Linked DNA regions of Callithrix jacchus. The protein of the gene in region 3 purifies or fractionates together with the protein of the main gene of each other region. This does not show direct contact. Links are inferred from orthologs where the notes say so. Each region holds a gene or a part of one and is shown on either strand. Other genes may lie near its edges.

Region 1 (6,996 bases), on a different chromosome or scaffold from region 3:
GCAGCCCTAGGTGCCCACCTGGTCGCCCCAGAGAGGCCGGGCCTGGGCGCTAGGACGCTCGCCGGGCTGCACTTGGCGGGGCTTTCCAGGTCCCTGGCCGGGCGCGCTCTCCTGCGGCGCGGACTGGAATAGAGCGCCAGCAGCGGAGCCACCCGGACCGGGAAAAGCAGCAGCGGCGCCAGCCTGCCCCGGGTCCGGACTCCGGAGGGAGGAAGGAGCTGGCGGGTGGGGGCGGGGGTGGGGGCGAGGGTAGGGGTGGCGTTCTGAAGACCCTGGGGAGCCAGAGGAAGAAAACAGGACTGACTCTCCCCGAGGAACCAGAGGGTTCCGGTGCACTCTACCCAGACCCGGGACACAGGTTCCCCCAGCGTCCCCCCGCCTCCCAGTCTAGTCGGCTCGCCCGCCGCGGGCCAGAGAGGCTTGGAAGCCAACACAGGGCAGCACGCTGCCGCACGTCCCCAAGGCCCCGGCCCTGGCCCGGCAGGCGAGTCCCAGCCTGCTCCGCTCTCTGCATAAAACGAAACCCAAACGCCCAAAAAGCTTAGGAGGAAATTTAACAGAAACTCTTTTACCCCCCAGCCCCCTTTCACTTTTAAGAAGCCGGCTGCCAAGAGAAAATTGAAACAAAAACGAAATGATAGCAGAGGACGCTATCTTTCCAAATGGTGAAATTTCCTTTAAAAATATGTTCCCTAAGGCCAACTTCGCGGCTGGCCGCCCCTTCCGACGCCTTTGCCTCCCAGAAAATCACAACAAAGCGATCGGAAATTCTGCCACGGTCCCGGGAAGGAGCAGCAGTGAGGCCCCGGAACCCACTGCGGCCGAAACTGCCATGCTCTCTTTAACCAAAAAATAAAAAAGATAAGAAGAAGAAGTAAAACCTTTTAATACATCAAATATACGGAATTTTAATCTTTAAAGCGATACATTGTCTATTATTTTAGTACATGACGTAAACCTTGTCCCCTTCTCAACGGGTGGACTTAAAAATTAAAAATAGTTAAGTGTTCCTTTTAAAGAACAAAATAAGGCAAATGAGGTTTTGGAATAGAATTTTTTCCTTTTTTTTTTGTTTTCTTCCAGAATACATACAAAAAAATACCCATTCTCTTCGATGGTATACACCTTAAAAATAATTGCAATTTGAAATCAGAGCTGACAAATTGTGACTTTTTTTTTCATTTTTTGTAACAAACATGCATGTAAATTTGTGTTTCAATCAGACATTAAATAACGTACAATACAATCATAGCAATTTTAAAGTAACATTAAAGAGAAGACCTCTAGTTCTGTGGCGGTTTTGCTTTTATTTATAATCTACAAGGGATGGGAGGGTTTGTTTTCCACATTTTTACCCTCACGTTTTAAATTGTTTCCCTCCTCCTTTTTACCTACAGAGCTCAAACTAAATAATGCACTTTTGAACCACGGGTCCGCTTGGAGCTAACATAAATAAATACCAGTGTCCACCGATGCAGTCCTCAGATGAACACTTTCTCAATTATTTTTTCCTTCTTTTTCTATAAAAAGTCAAATGATATTTTTTCAACTTTTATAAAGTTTGGGTGGGGAAGTGAGAGGAGGGGAGAAAGGGAGTCCCACCGGGTTTCGGTTGCTGCTGTGGGGTAGATAGATATGGTATATATTTCTTTCCTTTCGTGGCTTGAGTCCTCCCCACGCGCGGGTGTCAGCAGCCTGGGCCATGATCCCGCCCCTCCCTGGGCTCCTCCCCTCCTCCAACTCCTTCCTCTCCCTCGCTAGCCCTCCCGGCCCCTTCACTGATACCCCAGTGCCGAGGCGGTGGTCAGTCTCTGTCCGTAGAGGGCGTAGGGGGAGTAGTAGGGTCCGGTGGCGGCGGGCACCGGCACAGGGGCACCGGGCGTGGGGAGCGGGCTCTTGGAGTAGGGGTGGTAGCGGCTACTGAGTCCCAGCGCGTGGTGGGGGCTGCGCAGCGCCAGCGTCCCAGGACTGCCCGGCGCGCCGGAGGTGGGGATGTGCATGTGGCAAGCCATGGCGGCCGCGGCGGCGCTGGCCAGAGACGACGAGCTGGGGTAGCCCGACAGCAGTTTGTCTGTCCCAGGGAAGGCCGTATGGGTCCGCAAGTGGCTCAGCAGCTCTTCGGACGTGGCGAAGCGCTTGTCGCATGGCCCGTTGGCCGACACCCAGTTGCAGATGTGGGGGAGCGGGTCGTTAGGGAGCATAAAGCCGTAGGGGTAGAGGGGGTGGCCGGCCAGGGAGGGTGGTGTGGCGCCAGCAGCCGCGGCGGCCGTTAGCGAGGAGTGCACACCGTGCAGCGGGTGAGTGGGGTACACCAGCGGGTATCCAGACTTCAGCGCAGCGGCCGCAGCGGCCGGATCATGTGCGCACGAAGCGCTGGCTGCCGCCGCCCCTGCCAGGTGGCTGGCGCAGTGGTAGCTGAGGCAGTACGGGTCCCGGCACAAACTGGCTGTCATCACCGACGGCGGAGACGCCCCAGCCAAGGGGCTGGAGCCGGCCGGCTTACTGCAGCCCAGAGACCCAGCCGCGGCCGCCGCCAGCTGTGCCCCCACCAGGCTGCCCGGCTTGGTGGGGTCGAGTGCCACGCCATGTGGCAGGAACTGGGGCGGGTAGCCGGCGTAGGCCCCGGCCAGGCTGCCTGGGTAGGTCATGCCCGCGGGAGGCAAAGGAAACACTGTCTGGCCTGGCTTGTAGGGTGAGACGGGCGCCACCAGCCCAGAGCCCAGCACCGAGGAGGAGGTGGGCGCGCTGGGGCCGGAGCCAGAGCTCGAGCCAGATGAACCGCCGCAGTCCGAGCCCAGAGCCTTGCCCCCTGGGCCCCCATCAGGGTGCTGGTTCACGTCCACATTAATCCCGCCGCCGCAGCTAATCCGGCCGTGCGCCAGCCCTGTGGGTCCCCCTTCGGCCGAGGTGCCCCCGGCGCCCTTGCCGCCGCCGCCCACGTCGGTGTCTTTCTTGTCGTCCTTGCCCTCCGGGGCACCCCCGGCCGAGGGCAGCATACCTCCTGGGGAGCAGGCCGAGGCGCTGGAGCTCGGGCTGCCTGTCCTGGGCGTGAATGGCTGGCAGGTGGCGCTCGGTACCCGGAATCCCGACTTCTCCGCCGAAACGCCCCCGCCGCCGCCGCCCCCGCCGCCGCCCCCGCCGCCTCCACCGCCGCCTCCCGGCTCCTTCTTATCCGAGCCAGGTTTGGAGTACGGCTTGAAACTCGACTTGTCCTCCACGCCGATGTCGCTCAGCTTGAGGGGGCCCGATTTGGCGTCCTTGTCGCCCGCGGCGCTGCCGCCGGCACCGCCCGCGCCGCCCCCGTTGGAGGCGACCGAGGACAGTTTGGAGGAGGGCGAGGGGTCGGGCTTCCCAATCTGCGAACATGTTTGGGCCAACAGCGCCAGAGGGCTCTTCTTGGCATCGAGCTGCGGGGTCAGATGATGGGGGGGGTCACACAGAGAAAGAAGTGGAAACCCTTTAGAATCTGGCTTCTGGGGTTCAAATGCCTCTCTGCAACAGCCCACGAAGATCTTCCCAGCCCCGAGGCGCAATTCTAGGCGGCACCCCCTCTTCAACACCCAGTCGCAAACATTCTCGCCCTTGGGAAAGGCAGCAGATTCCCCCCTCCCCCCACCCCTCCCAGCAGCATCTTTCCTGCCCTCTCTGAACGCTAACTGGATTTTTAAAAAGCAAAATGTTTTTGGTTTTTGGTTCCTAGACCCACAACTGTACCCCCTCTCCACAAACAATCCCTAATTTTTCAGAGTAAGGGCTTGGACGGCTGGTGCCTCCGAGGCTGTGTGCACACACTGGCTCCCGGCGAGCCGGAGGACGGCGACTTTGGAATCGTATTTCAGACCTCTGCCTGCCTTCAGTGCCGAGTGAGGGGGCCTGGGTCGGGTTAGGGCTTTCATATCAAAAGGAGAAACAAGTATTGGCAGCCTTGCTCCCTAGCATTCACACCCCATTCCACCACCTCCCTCTTTTCCGCCCTAGTTTTGAGGTACGGAAGCAGTAGCCTTGTCCCCCATCCAGGAGCTGAATCACTCCGACCCCCCCACCCCCGCCCAGATCCAGAGAAAAAGAAAGCTTTAGGGTGGCTGCCAGGGTAGTGGTCCCAGCGCGATCCAGAGAGAGGGTCCTTACCTCGATAGGGCTGACGGGCGTGGAAGGCAGGGGCTGCAGGTACTCGGGGTGCAAAATGTGGCCAGTCCGTGCCGTCAGCATCTTCAGCACCTTGATTGGCAGGCGGCTGGCCTGGCGCAGGGGGTCAGAGGGGGGCACGGCGTGCACAAAAGGCTTGGTGCTGCCGGCCGGGGACGAGCCTGGACCGGGGCCGGAGCTATTTCCAGAGAGCGCGCTAGTCCAGGCAGGGTCTGCACCGCTGCCGCCGCCGCCGCCGCTGTGCTTACTGCTTCTTAGGGCAGAAAGCGAGGGCGCTGTGCTCATGACCCACCCGCGCGCATGGGAGCAGCGGGGGGGAGGGCTCCTGGAGGCGCGGGGCGGGCTCGGGGCTGCGCGCTCGCCCGGGGAGCAGGAGCAGCAGGAGGAGGAGGAGCTGGCTCGGCGGCCGCGGGCGCCCAGCGCGCCTTCTCGGCGCCTGGAGCCAGACGCGAGTAATCCTGGGTGGCCCGCAACGGAGCCGTGGCCGGGCTGGGGGAGCCGGCTGGAGTGCCGGAGTGCCGGAGTGCCGGGCTGCTCCCCTGCGCTGCGCTCCCGCGGCCCCGCGCCGGCGCTGCGCTCTGCGATGTGAGCTGCTGCGTGTCCAGCCGGGGCTCTGGCGAGGAAACTCACTTCAAAAGCAGCTGCACCGAGGGGGAGATTAAAGCCTTTGCCGCCTTCCAATCAAATGGGAGCCCGAGGTGATTGGAGGGTCAAGGGGATGTGACGCGTCCCGCGCTGCCTCTGCCGCCGCCGCCAGGACTCTCAGAGCTGGTTTTAATGGGCAGCTCCCTCCTCGCCGCCCCCCTGTGTGTCCCCTCCCTCGATTTCGCTCCGAGGACGAGATGGACATCTATTCTACGTTTGCCATCCGCCGCCTCCCTCTTTTTTTCTCCTCGTCGTTCTTCCTTTCCCCACCTCTAAAATAAACTGAAACCTTCTTTTGGAGGGGGGTGAGCGTGAGGAACAGACTGCGGGGGTGTCCAGAAGGAGCACCGGTGAGAGTGTGGACACCAGCCGGACTGTCAACTCGAGGGACGCAGGGAATCCACACACCCAGTGTTTTTTCTTCCGCAGTAATCGAGATCCCGCCCGACGCAGCGCAGCGCGGCCACCAGGGTAAGGCAAGGTGGGGAACCGGAGCTGGAGGAAGCCTGCCCGCCCGCTCTGTTTCCTCAGATTCTGCGGCAGAGAAACCAGAAACTAGATGGGCAGTCGCAGCGGCGGCGGCTCCACAGCGCGAGGCGCGCCGGGCTCTCCGCCCTTCCCGGCCACGTGACGCCCGGGGACGCGTAGATTGGGGCAGCAGCGGGGGTCACATGTTTCCTCTGTTTCACACTCAGTCTCCCCCCCCCAACCCCCCATTCTTACTCTCCCCTTCCATACTCTTTTCCTCCCTCCCCCCGTTCTTTGGGCATCTCCACCCCTCCATCAATTGTCAATGTTCCTCGACCGCAATCAATCAGTTATTTGTCAGCTCTTGTCAATCCGCCCGTGATTTATGTCAGCTTTTGTTGCTGATTACAAGGCTGGTGCGACTTGAAGGGAAAAAGAAGAGGGAGAGAGAGATGAAGAGGAAGGAAGAGACCGAGAGGGAACTGGAGGATGGGAAAAGAGGAGCGGCCTCCTGGGATGAGGAGTGGGGTGGGGGCTCTAAGAAAAAGAATGAAAGAGGGGAAAGAGGCGGTCTGTGTCAGGAAAATGAATAGTGAGAGTAAAGTGCGCAGGTGCGCCCAGGGCGCACGCAGGCCTGGATTGAGCGCCTGCCTTCTCGGTGTCGGAGAGACACCCACCTCTGGGGGCTTCGGTCTCTTGGGGTCGCGGAGTTCGGGCGCGGCTCCAGGTACCCGAGACCAGCGGCTGCAACCTCTAACACGGGAGATTTCCCGCCACCCCACCCCGCCGCCACTAGTCCCCGGGGGGCGTGTAGCGTGCGGAGGTCAGGCTGCCACCCTCGGTAGTTCTCTAACCCCAAACTCGGAGACTTCTAAGAGCCACACCAGCAATGAACCTCGAGTCCTGGAGGTCAATGGTGGGGTAAACCTCGCCTCAATTCTTTGACATCCTCAGTCGTAACCAGGGCTGAGAGGCTGCGGAGAAGAGGCCGGGCGGTGTGTGTGGGGGAGAAACGTCTCAGGCTCACTCTTTCCCCCTTCCGACCTTCCCTCACCTCCCGCCCCGCGCTATCCCCGCAGGCTGGGGAGCCAGGGTCACTCGGGGCTGCTCTCTCGAATTTATTCGGAACGCCGCGTCGGAACGACCTGCGCGGGGAGAGCCGGGGGAAGGAGCAAAAAAAGGAGGGGGCGGCTGCCTGTGGAAACGCGGGTTCTTCCAAGGAAGCAGAGAGGGACTGCCGCGTTCCCCTCGATTTGCACCGTCACTCGGGTTTGGAAAGAAGAGGGGAGGCGCTTGCGCGTGCCACCGCGTACCTGGACCTGGGTGCCCAGTGTGTATGCATGCCTGTGGCGCTGCGTAAGTTCTCGGGGCTTTGACAGTGTCCAGAGCGGGTTCGAGAGTCCCCTCCAGAAACTCGCAGAAATTAGAGCGGGTGGTTGGGTGAGGAGGACACACCCCCTTCCTCGGAACCACTAGGAAGACTTTGAATCTCCCTCCTCCGCTTTTCCGCCTCGGCTCTTCCTTTGTTGTCAAGTCCTTTTGATAAATGGTGGGGCTGGGAGCTCTGGGAGCCGGGAGCCGGGAGCCAGTCTGTGCCCGCGAGGTGGGTGGGGGCCGAGCCTGGAAACCTGGTTACAACCGGCGCGCAGCCGGGGCTGAGCCGGGTACTCGCGGGGGTCAGGTCTGGAACCTGCCCTCGGCGTGCTCACTCTCTCCCCTCGGCCCATCTCACTCCCC
Region 2 (6,953 bases), on a different chromosome or scaffold from region 3:
TTTCATGCTAGAACATGAAAGACTACCAATCTCAGAAGTTGACCCTGACAAGAAAGTTCTAGGGCTAGGCTTGCCAACCCTGGTCACTGGAAACCAATGATAGAAATGTGTGGAGACGGGCATGGGTATACACAAACACACACGATGCCTTACCAGACACAAGCTGGAAAGGGTTCCCACAGTTGGAGATGTCTGCATGATCAGGCAAAGGCTAAGAAAGAGAGAATATCCATCATGATTTGGATTCAGGACACACCGACAGATTTCTAGGAAGCCCTCTTCAGTTCTCCTCTGCAATTCATGAGCTATAGGGATGTTAGGGACATTAAGCGTTCTTCCTTTTGTCTTCCCAAAGTTAGTAAGTCAAACAGTCCACATCCTCCAACATCTCAAACCCTTCTCCACCCAGGTTTTGCTGTCCCTTCTCTAAAGGTGGAAAAATCCCTGCCCCCTTCCTTTTGGGCTGGGTTTTGAGCCGTTAGTGGGCTCTTCCAGGTTAAGTATCATGATTCATACAGCACAGGACAAGAGTAAAGTAGTAGCAACAATCAGCCTCAGAAAAAAGGGGGAGGGGGTCGTGAAGAAGCAGGAAGACTGGTCTTTTACCAGACTGATGCTGAAGCGTGTGCATTTCAGCTCATCCAGAGTCTGCTTCTGTAGCTGCTCAGTGATCAGGGTTATCATGATTCTCCCCAGGATTTGACTTGCACACTTTGGAGCAAATGATGGATGTCTTCCCTGTTGTTCTTCCAGACCTCACTCGTGAGCCGTCTTCTGCCACTGCAGCACCATTCTAGCACCATTGGGACTTCCCTCTCCAGTCATGCCTGCTGAGTCTGCCAATTAGAGGGACCAGCCCCAAGTGATATTAGAGATGCACCTGGTCCAGAGATGGAAAATGCATGGCACACATACCACAGCACCCCTAAGCCAGGCCTCTGGCAGACATCAATTGCCCACAGCTCTTTCCTGCTAAGCCTAAACATAGCTTCAGAAACTATGAACTTGGCAGTCTAGATATGAAATAAAATAGAGTTGGCAATCAAGTTGAAACTTATTTGCCACTCTTAACCTGGCTCTGTTGTTTCTAACTGGAATACCAGCACCACTTAGAAAACAGCTGCTCAAGTGAGAGAGAGGGATGCCCAAATGATTATTTCCATCAAGATTAGCCCAGTATTTTATCTTCCAGTCAGAAGTGAAAAGAGATACCCTTCTCCTAAACTACAGAAATAGTAATAAGAGAACAAGGAGGAACAGTGGTTGTAGGCATGACTTTCTGCTTTGGACCAGAGTACATAGGATTTTATGTCCTCCCACAGCCTAAATATCTGATATAGTATTGTTTTCCCATAGATACTGTGTATGTTTTCTTTTTTTTTTTTTTTGAGACGGAGTTTAGCTGTTGCTACCCAGGCTGGAGTGCAATGGCACAATCTTGGCTCACCGTAACCTCCGCCTCCTGGGTTCAAGTAATTCTCCCACCTCAGCCTCCCAAGTAGCTGGGACTACTGGCGCGTGCCACCATGCCCAGCTAATTTTTGTATTTTTAGTAGAGATGGGGTTTCACCTTGTTGACCAGGATGGTCTCGATCTCTTGACCTCGTGATCCACCCACCTCAGCCTCCCAAAGTGCTGGGATTATAGGTGTGAGCCACCGCCCTGGCCCACTGTGTATGTTTTCTTATCAAATAGGAAGAGGATAAGGAAATGATCAGGGTAATTCCAATACATTTCAATTCCACAGACATTACAAACAACTACATGACTTTATTCGACTAAGTTTTTTGCCTGATCTGATGCAAAGACCATGGATACAGTTAAGCAAGATTCTTTCTCATGGTCAATTTCTGACAGAAGCAAACTAACTCCATCAGAGAACAGGCTTCAAGCCCACATAATTACCCAAGGCGCCTTGCTCAAGGGAAAAGGGGAGGTTAAGCCAGTCTTGATTTTGTTCTGTCTATTCCCAGAAATGACCAGCAGGCTGACAGATTACCAGAGACTGTATGCAGCATTAGCTAGTCAAAAGAACAAATGATCAAGAAATCTAATTATTAAATCTAATTTTCTGAGAGTTTTGGCAAATCATTTAATACTCCTTGGCCTCAGTTTACCCATATGTAAAGTAGGTAGAATAATCTAAACCTGTCACAGGAACAACATAACATACTAAAATGTACAAAAGGTACCACCTGGCCTGTAAAAATCAGGAGTCCACATAGACTACCATTTCTCATTTCTGTTTGTGAATCTTCAAGACCTCAGAATGTCAGAAGTAATGATATCAGTAAGATGAAGAAGGCAACAGGGTCTATCTCTGGCTGAATACCATCCTCCCTCACCTGCACACTAAAAAAAAGCCCAAGAAGGCTCTTCCTTCTGTGACCTTGGGGGCAGACCACTGTACAATAAAGAGGAAATCATCTCTAACCCATTCACACCTCAGAAGGAGGCCACAAGGAAGAGCAAAGAAATGAATCTGGATGTACTTGGAGTTCTTTGGAAGAAAGGTGCAAGAGAAGTCAATCATCATTAGAGTTAACTACCATTTTCATGCATAATTATTACCACCCTGAACAAAATTCTAGCTTCCGGGGAGCTCCCTTCAGCTGCTTCCCCTATGTTCTCATGGGAGAAGCTAAAGCTTATATCACTTTTGCTCTTGGTTTCTTAACTCTGCCTTCAAAGATCAACCAGAGAGGAAACCTAAGTGCAGGATTTTACCCTAGAGACCCCAGGCCTCAGGCTCACCAGCTAGGAGGAACAGGGTAGTGAAACAAACTCTCTAGCTTTTCGAAAGATATTTGGACAACAGCAAACTCCCAATCATCTCTAGGATAGGTGAATAGAGTGAATTTGTGTTTTTCTGCATTTTAATTGTTGGGATGTGGCCACACACAGCGGTAATTGGAACAATGCAACTACCACCACGCAACTGATACTCTCAGCCTGAGTTTCCTAAAACAGGCCAGGCTGAGAGGGGGAACAGAACGGAAGCCATAAGGAATCAAACCAGGACACAAAAGAAGGCAAACCAGCTCCGCGAGGGGCCTCCTCTTTCTCAAGCAGGCATTGAAAAAAGTGTAAGAAGCCCGATCTTGCTGCCTTCCTTCCCCTTCCATTTTGTGTATCTGAAGGGTAGAGACAGCCCTGAACGTTCACTAAACAAGTTAAAACTTCTCAGTTTAACAACTGGCACAAGGGCTTAGCCCTTCACAGAGCAGCAGGCCGCTAGGCCCTCTCAGCAACCCCACCAGGCCTAACCCTCAGTCCAGGCTTTTCCTCCACCATCAGCCCCCTAAAATAAAGATCGGACCCCCACCCCATCTGCTACTGGATGGCAGTAACCCCTGACACTCCTGTTTCAGGGATGCGGAGGTTGTGCTGAACCTAGACAAGGTAGAATCAAGTCAGGCCAAGAGGGAGGAGAGTCACAAATCCCTTGGGGACCTTCCCCCAGGTCCCAGCCCTACACCTCTTGGGGAGACTGAAGGAAAACATGAGGAAGGCAGGGAGGTGCACGAACAGGTAAGTGGAGACCTTCCGCCTCTTCTTCCATATGGTTCTGGTGGGAATAGTGGTGACAAGTGGGAAACACCCCTCCCCCACCCCCATGAAGAAGCAAAAGGCTAGGCCCCTTCAATCTTCAAGCTATCCCTCTGTTGCCCTGCCTGTCCCCGCGGGGTGGGGCATGGGGCGTCCGCTGGTCCGCGGCGGGGGGGGGTCGCCAGGGCTTGCTCAGGGGGGCTGGCGTTTGCCTCTTCCCACTAGGTTCCATCATCTGGCCGCGGGAAGCGAACTCCCGACGCAAGGGATGGGGAGGGTCTGGGACTTAGCACTCCGCCACCCCCTCCCCCACCGGGTCCCGTGCTCTCCCCGCGGAGGCGGCCTGCGAGGCCCGGCCGCACAGGCGGCAGGACTGGGGGAGGGGAAAGAGGGAAGGAGGGAGGGACAGTTGAGGTGCCCGCCCCGAGGCCCCAGCGCCACCTGCCCTCTGCCACCTACCGCAGCTCCTCCAGCTCCCAGGGCCACGGCCGGAGCAGCTCTGAGCGCTCCGTTCGCCCCACGGTGCCCTTAAAAGGCGCTGGCGCGAACCAACGAGTCCCTGAGGAGAGTAGGGGGACAGCTCCGGCTAGCAGAATCCCCTCGAGCCACCCGCGGAGGCCGCAGCCCCGTGTGGTGTCTCTGTCAACGTCTTTCTCAGATAGCGCTGTCGGGAAGTAGCCTGACGCTTTGATTTAGGGATGGGGGTGGTTTCCTCACTAACGAGTCACCCCTTCAAAATCTCTCAGAAAGTGGACGGTCCCAGTCGGAGGCACATCTTGAAACCCGCGGGGGAGGCCCCGTCGGAAGAAGGTAAACAAAGGCATCGCCCCTGGCCTCCCTCCCTCCGTCGGCCCAACTACAGCCTCCCACGCGGTTCTGGCCGCGTCACGCAATTAGCCACAGTGCCCCATCACCTGCTCTGCTGCTCCGCCCTCCACGGCCACCTCTTCGAAGGAATTCCCCCTTCCCCCTGCAAAGGACCTGTCCGCCGCGTGAAGGCTGCTGGGAAGTGTGGTCCAAGCGCCGATCAGGGCCTGCTCTGAGTCCCAGGAGCCCCTCTTGCAGCTGCCGGATCGGCATGAATCTTAAAAACCCAGGACTTACAATGGTTGCGGGGCCGTTTCCACTCGGTTTTGTAATTTGCCCTCACCCAGAACACTTTGTAAAGCTCAGGATAGCCCAAGGCTGTTCACTCCCTATCCTCCCTCTCCGCCCCCCCCCCAGCAGGATGAGGTAATGGGATTGTGATTATGACATCATAGGCGGTTCAGTTGCTTGCGTTGGGTGGGGGGAGGTGCGGGGAGGTGGGGAGAAGTACGGTGGTTACACTTTCGTTAAACAGAAAGGGAGGGAGGAAACAGGCAGATGGTGAAAAGATGTGACGGCCCTACATTTCCACTTCAGGAAGACAAAACCACCTTTTATTAAGTCTCCACCACTACCACCACTTCCCACATGAGCCAAAGTTTAAGTCTTTTTTAGAGACTGAATGTAGACGTTAGTGTGTGAAGAGGTTGGGTTGATGGTTTCTGGCTCTTATGTAAATTTGAGTCTCAGCCTCACAGATGGTTCAGGGAGACAAGCAAAAAAGTGGATGAAGAAGAGGCTTTAAACAATGCCTTCGTGTTGTGATCTCTTTGTAATGCAAAGTTTTCGATTTTTTTTCAATTGATTGGAAAGTAGCAGTAATGCAAGTAATCTTCACTATTACACTTAGCAGAAAGTCCTCTGAAAGACATCTGTTCTCTGTAAATATTTTGTGCCTTACTCATGACTGGGACAGGTAAATAGCTGTGATCAGCTGGAAAGTAGAGCCAATGGTGGGGATCTTCCTCACAGAGCCAGGTAGATGAGGAAGCAGGAGCCACAAAGTCTGCAAACTGAAAAAGAGTAGAGGAAAAGTGAGGTACAATAATAACTGAGAAAATAGGGGTAGAGAGATTTACCTTGCACTGCCTATTTCCCCTTGGCAAAAGGAGCAGAGGCAGGCACCATGAAGTGTGGGACACATAGTTTCTAATAATTGCACTTATGTGCCAGACACCATGCTTTTTTTTTTTTTGCAGAAACAGGGTTTTGCTCTGTTGCTCAGGCTGGAATGCAGTGAGACCATCATAGCTAACTGCAGCTTGAACTTCTGGGCTCAAGCAGTCCTTCCCATCTCAGCCTCCTGAGTAGTTAGAACTACAGGGGTGTGCCACCATGCCCAGCATATTTATTTCTATTTTTGTAGAGAGAGGGTCCTTGCTATGTTGCCCAGGGTAGTCTGAAACTTCTGGCCTCAAATGATCTTCCCAGCTTGGCCTCACAAAGTGCTCAAATGGCCAGGCATGATGACTCACACCTGTAATCCCAGCACTTTGGGAAGCAAGGCAGACAGATCATTTGAGGTCAGGTGTTCCAGATCAGCCTGGCCAACATGGTGAAACCCCATCTCTACTAAAAAATACAAAAATTAGCTGGGCGTGGTGGTGCCCACATGTAATCCCAGCTACTCCGGAGGCTGAGGCAGGAGAATCGCTTGAACCCAGGAGGCAGAGGTTGCAGTGAGCTGAGATCATGCCACTGTACTTCAGCCTGGGCCACAAACAAAACAAAAGAACAAAAAAAAAAAAAAGTGCTGGGATTCCAGGTGTGAACCACCATACCTGGCCTACATACTTTGATGTATATTCTCATTTTTTTTTACAGTCATCCAATGAAACAAAACTTTCTCTTTGACAAAGGAAACAGCCCAGGAGATTAAGTGACTGCCCACGTGGTAGGTAGAGGTAGTATCAAAAAGCAGTCTAAAAGAGATTCAAAAAGCCCTTGCTTTTCACTGCTAAGCTCTTCCCCTTTTTATTATTAACCAAGCTTACTAATTACATGATTGAGTTGAAAGTAGGCATTGGCTCATTTGCAAAACATTGAAAGAAACTGAGACAAAAAAAAAAAACAAAAAACCCTGCAAGTTTCAAGCCTCATTTCAAAGGAAGGTTACATCCCCTTTCATCATCTATTAAATAGCCTCCCAGTGCAGCCTAACACTCCTACCCATAATGAAATCTCCTTATTCCACTTTTAATTCCCAACGATTTTTTTACTCATGTCCTGCTCTTCTTCCCTGCTGCCCCCTGTGTATTATTTTGTTCTTGAGCCACTGTTTTGAACAGCATCTTAATTGTGCCCTCATGGGCCAAACCCCATCTCTGACCCTGCCCCAATGGGTTTCAGCAGAGGATACTTTCCATCCATATTCTGAGGATTCCAGGGCCTGGAGCCGGTCATCCAGGAGGTCATCCAAAGGAGTGGAAACCATTGGCTCTAAGAGACTCTCCATTCCCTGCCTAGGAAGGAACAGCTGAGTCAGAGGAACATGCATTCAATTCAGACCCTCCCTTTTCATCCAGTGAAAGCTAAAT
Region 3 (6,452 bases):
TGATCTTTCATCTTTGGGAAACCACTGATATTAGAGCTGTCAGGTTTTAGTACTCACAAACACTGTTTGGGCTTCATTTACCTGCTTCTCTGTCATGAACTAGGTTTAGGTGACCTCGACGTGGCAGATTTTTCTCCTATAGGAAGAAGAGGTAATGGATCTAAATCTGACTGGAGCTTCTTGTTCACCAACAGGTCTATGATATTGCATTTAGCCGGGCCGGGGGTGGCAGGGACATGTTTGCCTCTGTGGGTGCTGATGGCTCTGTGCGGATGTTTGACCTCCGCCATCTAGAACACAGCACCATCATTTACGAAGACCCGCAGCATCACCCACTGCTTCGCCTCTGCTGGAACAAGCAGGACCCTAACTACCTGGCCACCATGGCCATGGATGGAATGGAGGTGAGCACTCCCCTCAGACTACCATGGACCCTGCCAAGCTCCAGCACTGCTTAGTATATCTGGAAGGATGGTTCTCAACTGGAGCAGTTCGGCCCCCAGAGTATCTTTGAGAATATCTAGAGGCATTTTTTGGTGGTCACAACTCTGGAGAGGCAGGTGGTACTATAGCATCTAGTGGGTGGAGACCAGGGAGGCTGCTAAATATCCTGCAGTGCCCAGGACAGTCCCCCAGCAAAGTATATCCTACACAAAATGACAGAAATCTCGGGACTGAGAAAGCCTGATCTGGAACAAGAATTTCTTTTAAGAACTTTTAATTTTTGGCTGGTCACAGTGGCTCATGTCTATAATTCCAGCACTTTAGGAGGCCCAGGCAAGCGGATCATGAGATCAAGAGTTCGAGACCAGTGTTACCAACTTGGTGAAACCCTGTCTCTACTAAAAATACAAAAAAAAAAAAAAAAAAAAAAGCTGGGTGTGGTGGTGTGCGCCTGTAATCCAAGCTACTCAGGAGGCTGAGGCAGAATTGCTTGAACCCGGGAGGCAGAGGTTGCAGTGAGCCAGGATCACATCACTGCACTCCAGCCAGGACAACAGTGTGAGACTCCATCTCAAAAATAAATAAATAAATAAATAAATAAGAAATAAAATAAGAAGAGAGACAGGATTTCCACAGAATTAAGGGAAAAGATGACAAAGGACACAAGTTTATAGTCTCTATCTGTATTTTTAGTAGAGATGGGGTTTTACCATGTTGCTTAGGCTGGTCTCAAACTCCTGACCTTGTGATTCACCCACCTCAGCCTCCCAAAGTGCAGGGATTACTGGTGTGAGCCACTGCACCCAGACCTCTAGTGTTCTTTAAATCCACAAATAGAAGAGTTATGCCTAAAAAGATTTTTTGTGTGTGGATAGTATTTTTTGCTTCTTTCTGTGAAACTCTGATGATCCCAGGCCTTTTACTTTGTTATTTCCGCAGGTGGTGATTCTAGATGTCCGGGTTCCCTGCACACCTGTCGCCAGGTTAAACAACCATCGAGCATGTGTCAATGGCATTGCTTGGGCCCCACATTCATCCTGTCACATCTGCACTGCAGGTAATCACAGTAGGGGAGAGGAATCTGGCAGGGATGGAGGAAATCTGTCCTCTTGGCTCCTTAGAATTGTAATTGTTACTGTTTTCTAAGGACAGTCTTAAGAGGTTTATAAAAAGTGACTAGTCAGAGCCTCTCCACACTTGTGAAATTCAAGCAGTACAGATTTTTAGACGATCTTGTACCCTCATGGACATCAGAGCATCTTCCATATATGATTTACATCATGTGTCAGTTATAGGCCTGTGCCTTGTACTGTCCCCCTAAAATCTGGGTGGCACAGAGGACTCAATTCCAGGAATATGAGGAAAAGGAGGTATCCCTCGTGGATGTAACAGAATCTTTGGGACTGTGAAGATCAACATATCCATGGGACCTTTCACGTATCACTATAACAAACCCACAGTGAGCCCTGAATACATTGGAGGGCCCCACAGAACTTTCCCTGGTTGCAGTGTGTGACTTGTGGTTTTCATTTCACTATTTCCCAGACCAAAGAGAGTACCCCTTACTCACTGGGCACAGTGGCTCACACCTGTAATCCCAGCACTTTGGGAGGCTGAGGTGGGTGGGTCACCTGAAGTCAGGAGTTTGTGACCAGCCTGACAAGCATAGTGAAACCCTGTCTCTACTAAAAATACAAAAATAATTAGCTGGGCATGGCAGCACACACCTGTAGTCCAAGCTACTTGGGAAGCTGAGGCAGGAGAACTGCTTGAACCCAGGAGGTGGAGGTTGCAGTGACCTGAGATTATGCCACTGCCCTCCAGCCGGGGTGACAGAGCAAGACTCCATCTCCAAACAAATAAATAAATAAATAAAAGCAATACCTCTTAAAAATATGTTGGGCCAGGCATAGCATCTCAGGCCTGTAATTGTAGCATTTTAGGAGGCTGAGGTGGGAGGATTGCATGAGGCCAGGAGTTTGAGATCAGCCTGAGCAGTATAGTGAGACCTCTTTACAAAAAGTTAAAAAATTATCTGGGTGTGGTAGTGAATTCCTGTAGTCTCAGCTACTTAGAGGCTGAGGTGAGAGGATCCCTTGAGCCCAGGAGTTTGAGGTTATAGTGAGCTATGATTGTGCCACTGCACTCCAGCCTGGGCAACCAAGCAAGACCCTGCCTCTAACATAAATTTTTTAAAAAGAAAAGAAAAATATGCTGGTTGTCAGTGCACTTTTATTCTATAATGAATGCCAATCTGTTATTTAAAATGAAAACAGTACAGAGGCATGTTTAAGGTGAAAGTCATTGTTTCTCCTTCCTATATTATTTCTGCCTCCATCCCACTCTGCATAGATGACCTCTATCAACAGTTCATGTGTCTCCTTCCGGACCCTTTTGGTATACATTCGGGAGTGTACATCCATACCCCTAAAGACAATTCTATACATCTTCCTTTTGCACGATGGGATTCTGTCCGAGCTTTGTGGTGTTTTGCTCCTTAACTTTTTTAGTGTGCATTTTTCTTCTCCTCGCTAATCAGTATCCTTATAATGGACAAGGTTTGTTATGAAGCCCAAGAAGCAATGTACTTTGGTGTTTTTCTGCCATTTGAGCATTATTTTGAAGACATGAAGCTTCTCCTGATTTTGGCCCTGGGCTCATGCCTGTATGTCTTCTTGAAGAGCAGTTGGGGGCATGCTGCCGCCTTATATACCTCAGGTTATGGTCTGTCTTCTTCGTTATTGCCCTCTTATTTTTTTAGGGGTGTGGACAGGGAGGGATGGAAGAAACAGAAAAGGTATCATCTAACATTCATGGAAAGCAGGACTGGCCCCTTAGAAGCTGCATTTTCTGCTCCTGACTGCTGCCTTTGCCCTGCTCTCTGTCATTTAGTGTGTTGCACCTGCCTTGAGCCCCTTCAACCAAAGGAGCTGTTGTTCAAGTGTGCTCAGTTGAGCACTGAGGATAAGGAACTTAGTGCTTTAGAGGGCAATACCCTGATCTTTTGGTATACACTGTCCCTGGGAGAGGGATCTTGCACCTGGCCCAGACTATGCGGTCTCGGTAGAATACCAGTATTGCCCATAATTAGCCTGGCCTATTAAGGCTTAGTTTATTCAGATTCCCTGTGTATCTAAGACCAGCTTTCATCAGAATGCATGGCAGAGTCAGGGTAAACTGCAGCTCTGAAGACCATTGCCTTTTTTTTGCTTTTTTTAAAATTAACTTACTATTTTGATTATAAAAGTAAGCTGGGTGCGGTGACTCATGCCCGTAATCCCAGCACTTTAGAAGGCTGAGGCAGGTGGATCATCTGAGGTCACGAGTTCAGGTTCAGCCTGGTCAACATGGTAAAACCTGTCTCTACTAAAAACACAAAAATTAGCTGGTTGTGCTGGTGCGCCTGAATTCTCAGCTACTTAGGCGGCTGAGGCAGAAGACCCCAGGAGGCATTGGTTACAGTGAGCCAAGATCACACTATTGCACTCCAGCCAGGGTGACAGAACAAGACTCTATCTCAAACAAACAAACAAAAAGTAATATGAACATATTACAGAACTAGAGAAAAGTAAACATAACCTTGCCATCTTAGTATTGCCACCATTCTCATTTTGATATATTTCCTTCTAGTCATTTTTCACGTGCTTTTATATATTTAAGGTGATTGTCTTCTTTCTGGTGTTTCCCATAGATATTTTCTTGGCTTTATTTATTTATTTTATTTTATTTTTTGAGGTGGAGTCTTACTCTGTCGCACAGACTTGAGTACAATGACATGATCTTGGCTCACTGCAATCTCTGCCTCCCGTTTAAGTGATTCTCAGCCACCTGAGTAACTGGGATTACAGGTGTGCACCACCATGCCTGGTTTATTTGTATATATATATATTTTTTTTTTTTTTTGAGACAGAGTTTCACTCTTGTTACCCAGGCTGGAGTGCAATGGCGCAATCTCAGCTCACCGCAACCTCTGCATCCTGGGTTCAGGCAGTTCTCCTGCCTCAGCCTCCTGAGTAGCTGGGATTACTGGCACGCACCACCATGCCCAGCTAATTTTTTGTATTTTTTAGTAGAGACGGGGTTTCACCATGTTGGCCACTCCTGGCCCCAGGTGGTCCACCTGCCTCAGCCTCCCAAAGTCCTGGGATTACAGGTGTGAGCCACCAGGCCTAGCCAGGAAATAATTTTTTAACAGCACATATCAACACTACTTTATCAGTCTTCTTTCTCTATAATACCTCATTGAAGTATAAATGGGAAGAAACCTTCTCATTATATTGAATGATCAGAGAAGGATCTTATAACTCCAGTATTTTAAGTGGCTGCAAATGACATGTTTTGTATCCCCTGGTCCACTCCTGATACCTGACCCAGGTGAGAAGGGCTCATTAGTGCAGTGGATAGAGCCTAGGGACACCTGCAAGATGGAGTCAAGGCCTAGACTTGAGTTCTGGCTCTGCTGCTCACTGGCTGCACAGCTGTGTGATTTGGGACAAGTGCCTTAACATTTCTGAATCTTGTTTTCTTCATCGATAAAATGGGGGTTTAAAATAGAACCTCCATCACGGAGTTTTGGTGATCAACTGCTTTGTAAACTGTGACTTGCTCCTGAAATACAGGGATCATCATCCCCATTGCCTCAGTTGTGACCTTGCTTGCTGGCTTTCTTTGTCTCTAGCGGATGACCACCAGGCTCTCATCTGGGACATCCAGCAAATGCCCCGAGCAATTGAGGACCCTATCCTGGCCTACACAGCTGAAGGAGAGATCAACAATGTGCAGTGGGCATCAACTCAGCCCGACTGGATCGCCATCTGCTACAACAACTGCCTGGAGATACTCAGAGTGTAATGTTGGTGGCGCTGTGCGCACGAGGCAGGGCCTTGTGTGTTTCCTGCCTCTGCCCCACCCCAAAGTAAGAAGAAACATGTTTCCAGTGGCCAGTATGTCTTTCGTTGCTTTGCACCCACTGTTACCAGAAGCTGCTCTAGGAGTTCCTGGCCAGTCACCCCATCGCCCTCTGTGGCAGACTCAGTGCTGTGTGGCACCTCCTCAGCCCAGGGCTGAATTTTAAAATTTTCTCTTCTTTCCTCTTCTTGTTTTGTTCCTCAATTAAAAATGTGTGTATATTTGTTTGTCAGGCGTTGCGTTGAGGAGCAGTTCATGTACTGGCTGTGTCTATTCCTCTGCCCAGGTGTCTCTGTCTGTTTGCTGCCCAAGGCAGCAACGCATGTTTCCATGTCCATGTTCCTGTTAGCACTTACGTGGGAACAAATAACAGTTTGTCCTTTCTCCTAGTATCAGTGTGTTTAACAAATTTCAACTTTGTATATTTATCAGGCTAATTTTTTTATGAAAAGAATTTTACTCTTCCTGGTTCATTTATTTGTCTTATAGTCCTTCCTATGTGCCCCTTCTTCTCTTCCCTCAGTGCCTGGAGCTGGTACTGGGCCCCTGGCCCCATGAGCAGTTTGCCTTCTTGAGTCACTGCCTGAGTAGTACATACCTGACCGGGAGGCCAAACCACCTTGGTGCTCTGAAGTCAACTGACTCCTCAACATCTTTCTTAGCCTGGCTCTTCTTAAGGGCATTCTGGGCTTCTAAACAGACGTAGGAAACCTCTGTTTACCCTAAAGCACCACTGTCCAGCCCCATTGGTTCCCACTGGGAGCATGGTAGAGGTGAGAGAGACAGGCTCTCAGGGTACCTGACTTGAGGGGAATCCTTTCAGGAAGCTGAAAAAGTCAAGCATATTTCCATACCTACTTTCAGAGTCTGTTTTTTACTTCAAATATAAGCCCCAGGCCATTCCACTTAGTGTCTTTTTAATGATCGACAAGAATGAGTTGAAATTCTCTGAGTTGAACTTCGGTGTTTCTGTTGGTTGAGTGTACTGTGCCTGGCCATATATTATATAGGGTGCTCTTTGGATTGAGTGCTCTGAGGTGAGAGTTTCCCGAGAGGCATCCAGTCTGTACTTCCAACCCTGAACAAGACCTCACATGAGA

Evidence for each region. The genes of interacting proteins can lie anywhere in the genome.
Region 1: the proteins of DCAF7 (region 3) and ZNF503 purify together in Homo sapiens (affinity purification with mass spectrometry; 4 studies listed by BioGRID and IntAct, counting the BioPlex papers as one, with this or other methods). This does not show direct contact. The link is inferred for Callithrix jacchus from reciprocal best matches to the Homo sapiens genes DCAF7 and ZNF503.
Region 2: the proteins of DCAF7 (region 3) and FAM53C purify together in Homo sapiens (affinity purification with mass spectrometry; 3 studies listed by BioGRID and IntAct, counting the BioPlex papers as one, with this or other methods). This does not show direct contact. The link is inferred for Callithrix jacchus from reciprocal best matches to the Homo sapiens genes DCAF7 and FAM53C.

The regions. Positions count from the first base shown.
Region 1 is NC_133513.1:54,764,113-54,771,108, reverse strand, and holds ZNF503 (zinc finger protein 503), read right to left. Parts: upstream 4,780-6,996; 5' UTR 4,432-4,779; coding exon 4,129-4,431; intron 3,408-4,128; coding exon 1,776-3,407; 3' UTR 1,041-1,775; downstream 1-1,040. Other genes in the region: uncharacterized protein LOC144578661, read left to right, coding at 6,806-6,996. UniProt on the Homo sapiens protein: May function as a transcriptional repressor.
Region 2 is NC_133503.1:36,752,957-36,759,909, reverse strand, and holds the start of FAM53C (protein FAM53C), read right to left. Parts: upstream 4,780-6,953; 5' UTR 4,654-4,779; intron 4,500-4,653; exon of another isoform or gene 4,464-4,499; intron 4,360-4,463; exon of another isoform or gene 4,294-4,359; intron 4,051-4,293; exon of another isoform or gene 4,009-4,050; intron 3,532-4,008; exon of another isoform or gene 3,405-3,531; intron 837-3,404; 5' UTR 685-836; coding exon 607-684; intron 212-606; coding exon 154-211; intron 1-153.
Region 3 is NC_133506.1:88,861,381-88,867,832, forward strand, and holds part of DCAF7 (DDB1- and CUL4-associated factor 7), read left to right. Parts: intron 1-194; coding exon 195-404; intron 405-1,383; coding exon 1,384-1,501; intron 1,502-5,122; coding exon 5,123-5,295; 3' UTR 5,296-6,452. UniProt on the Homo sapiens protein: Involved in craniofacial development. Acts upstream of the EDN1 pathway and is required for formation of the upper jaw equivalent, the palatoquadrate. The activity required for EDN1 pathway function differs between the first and second arches.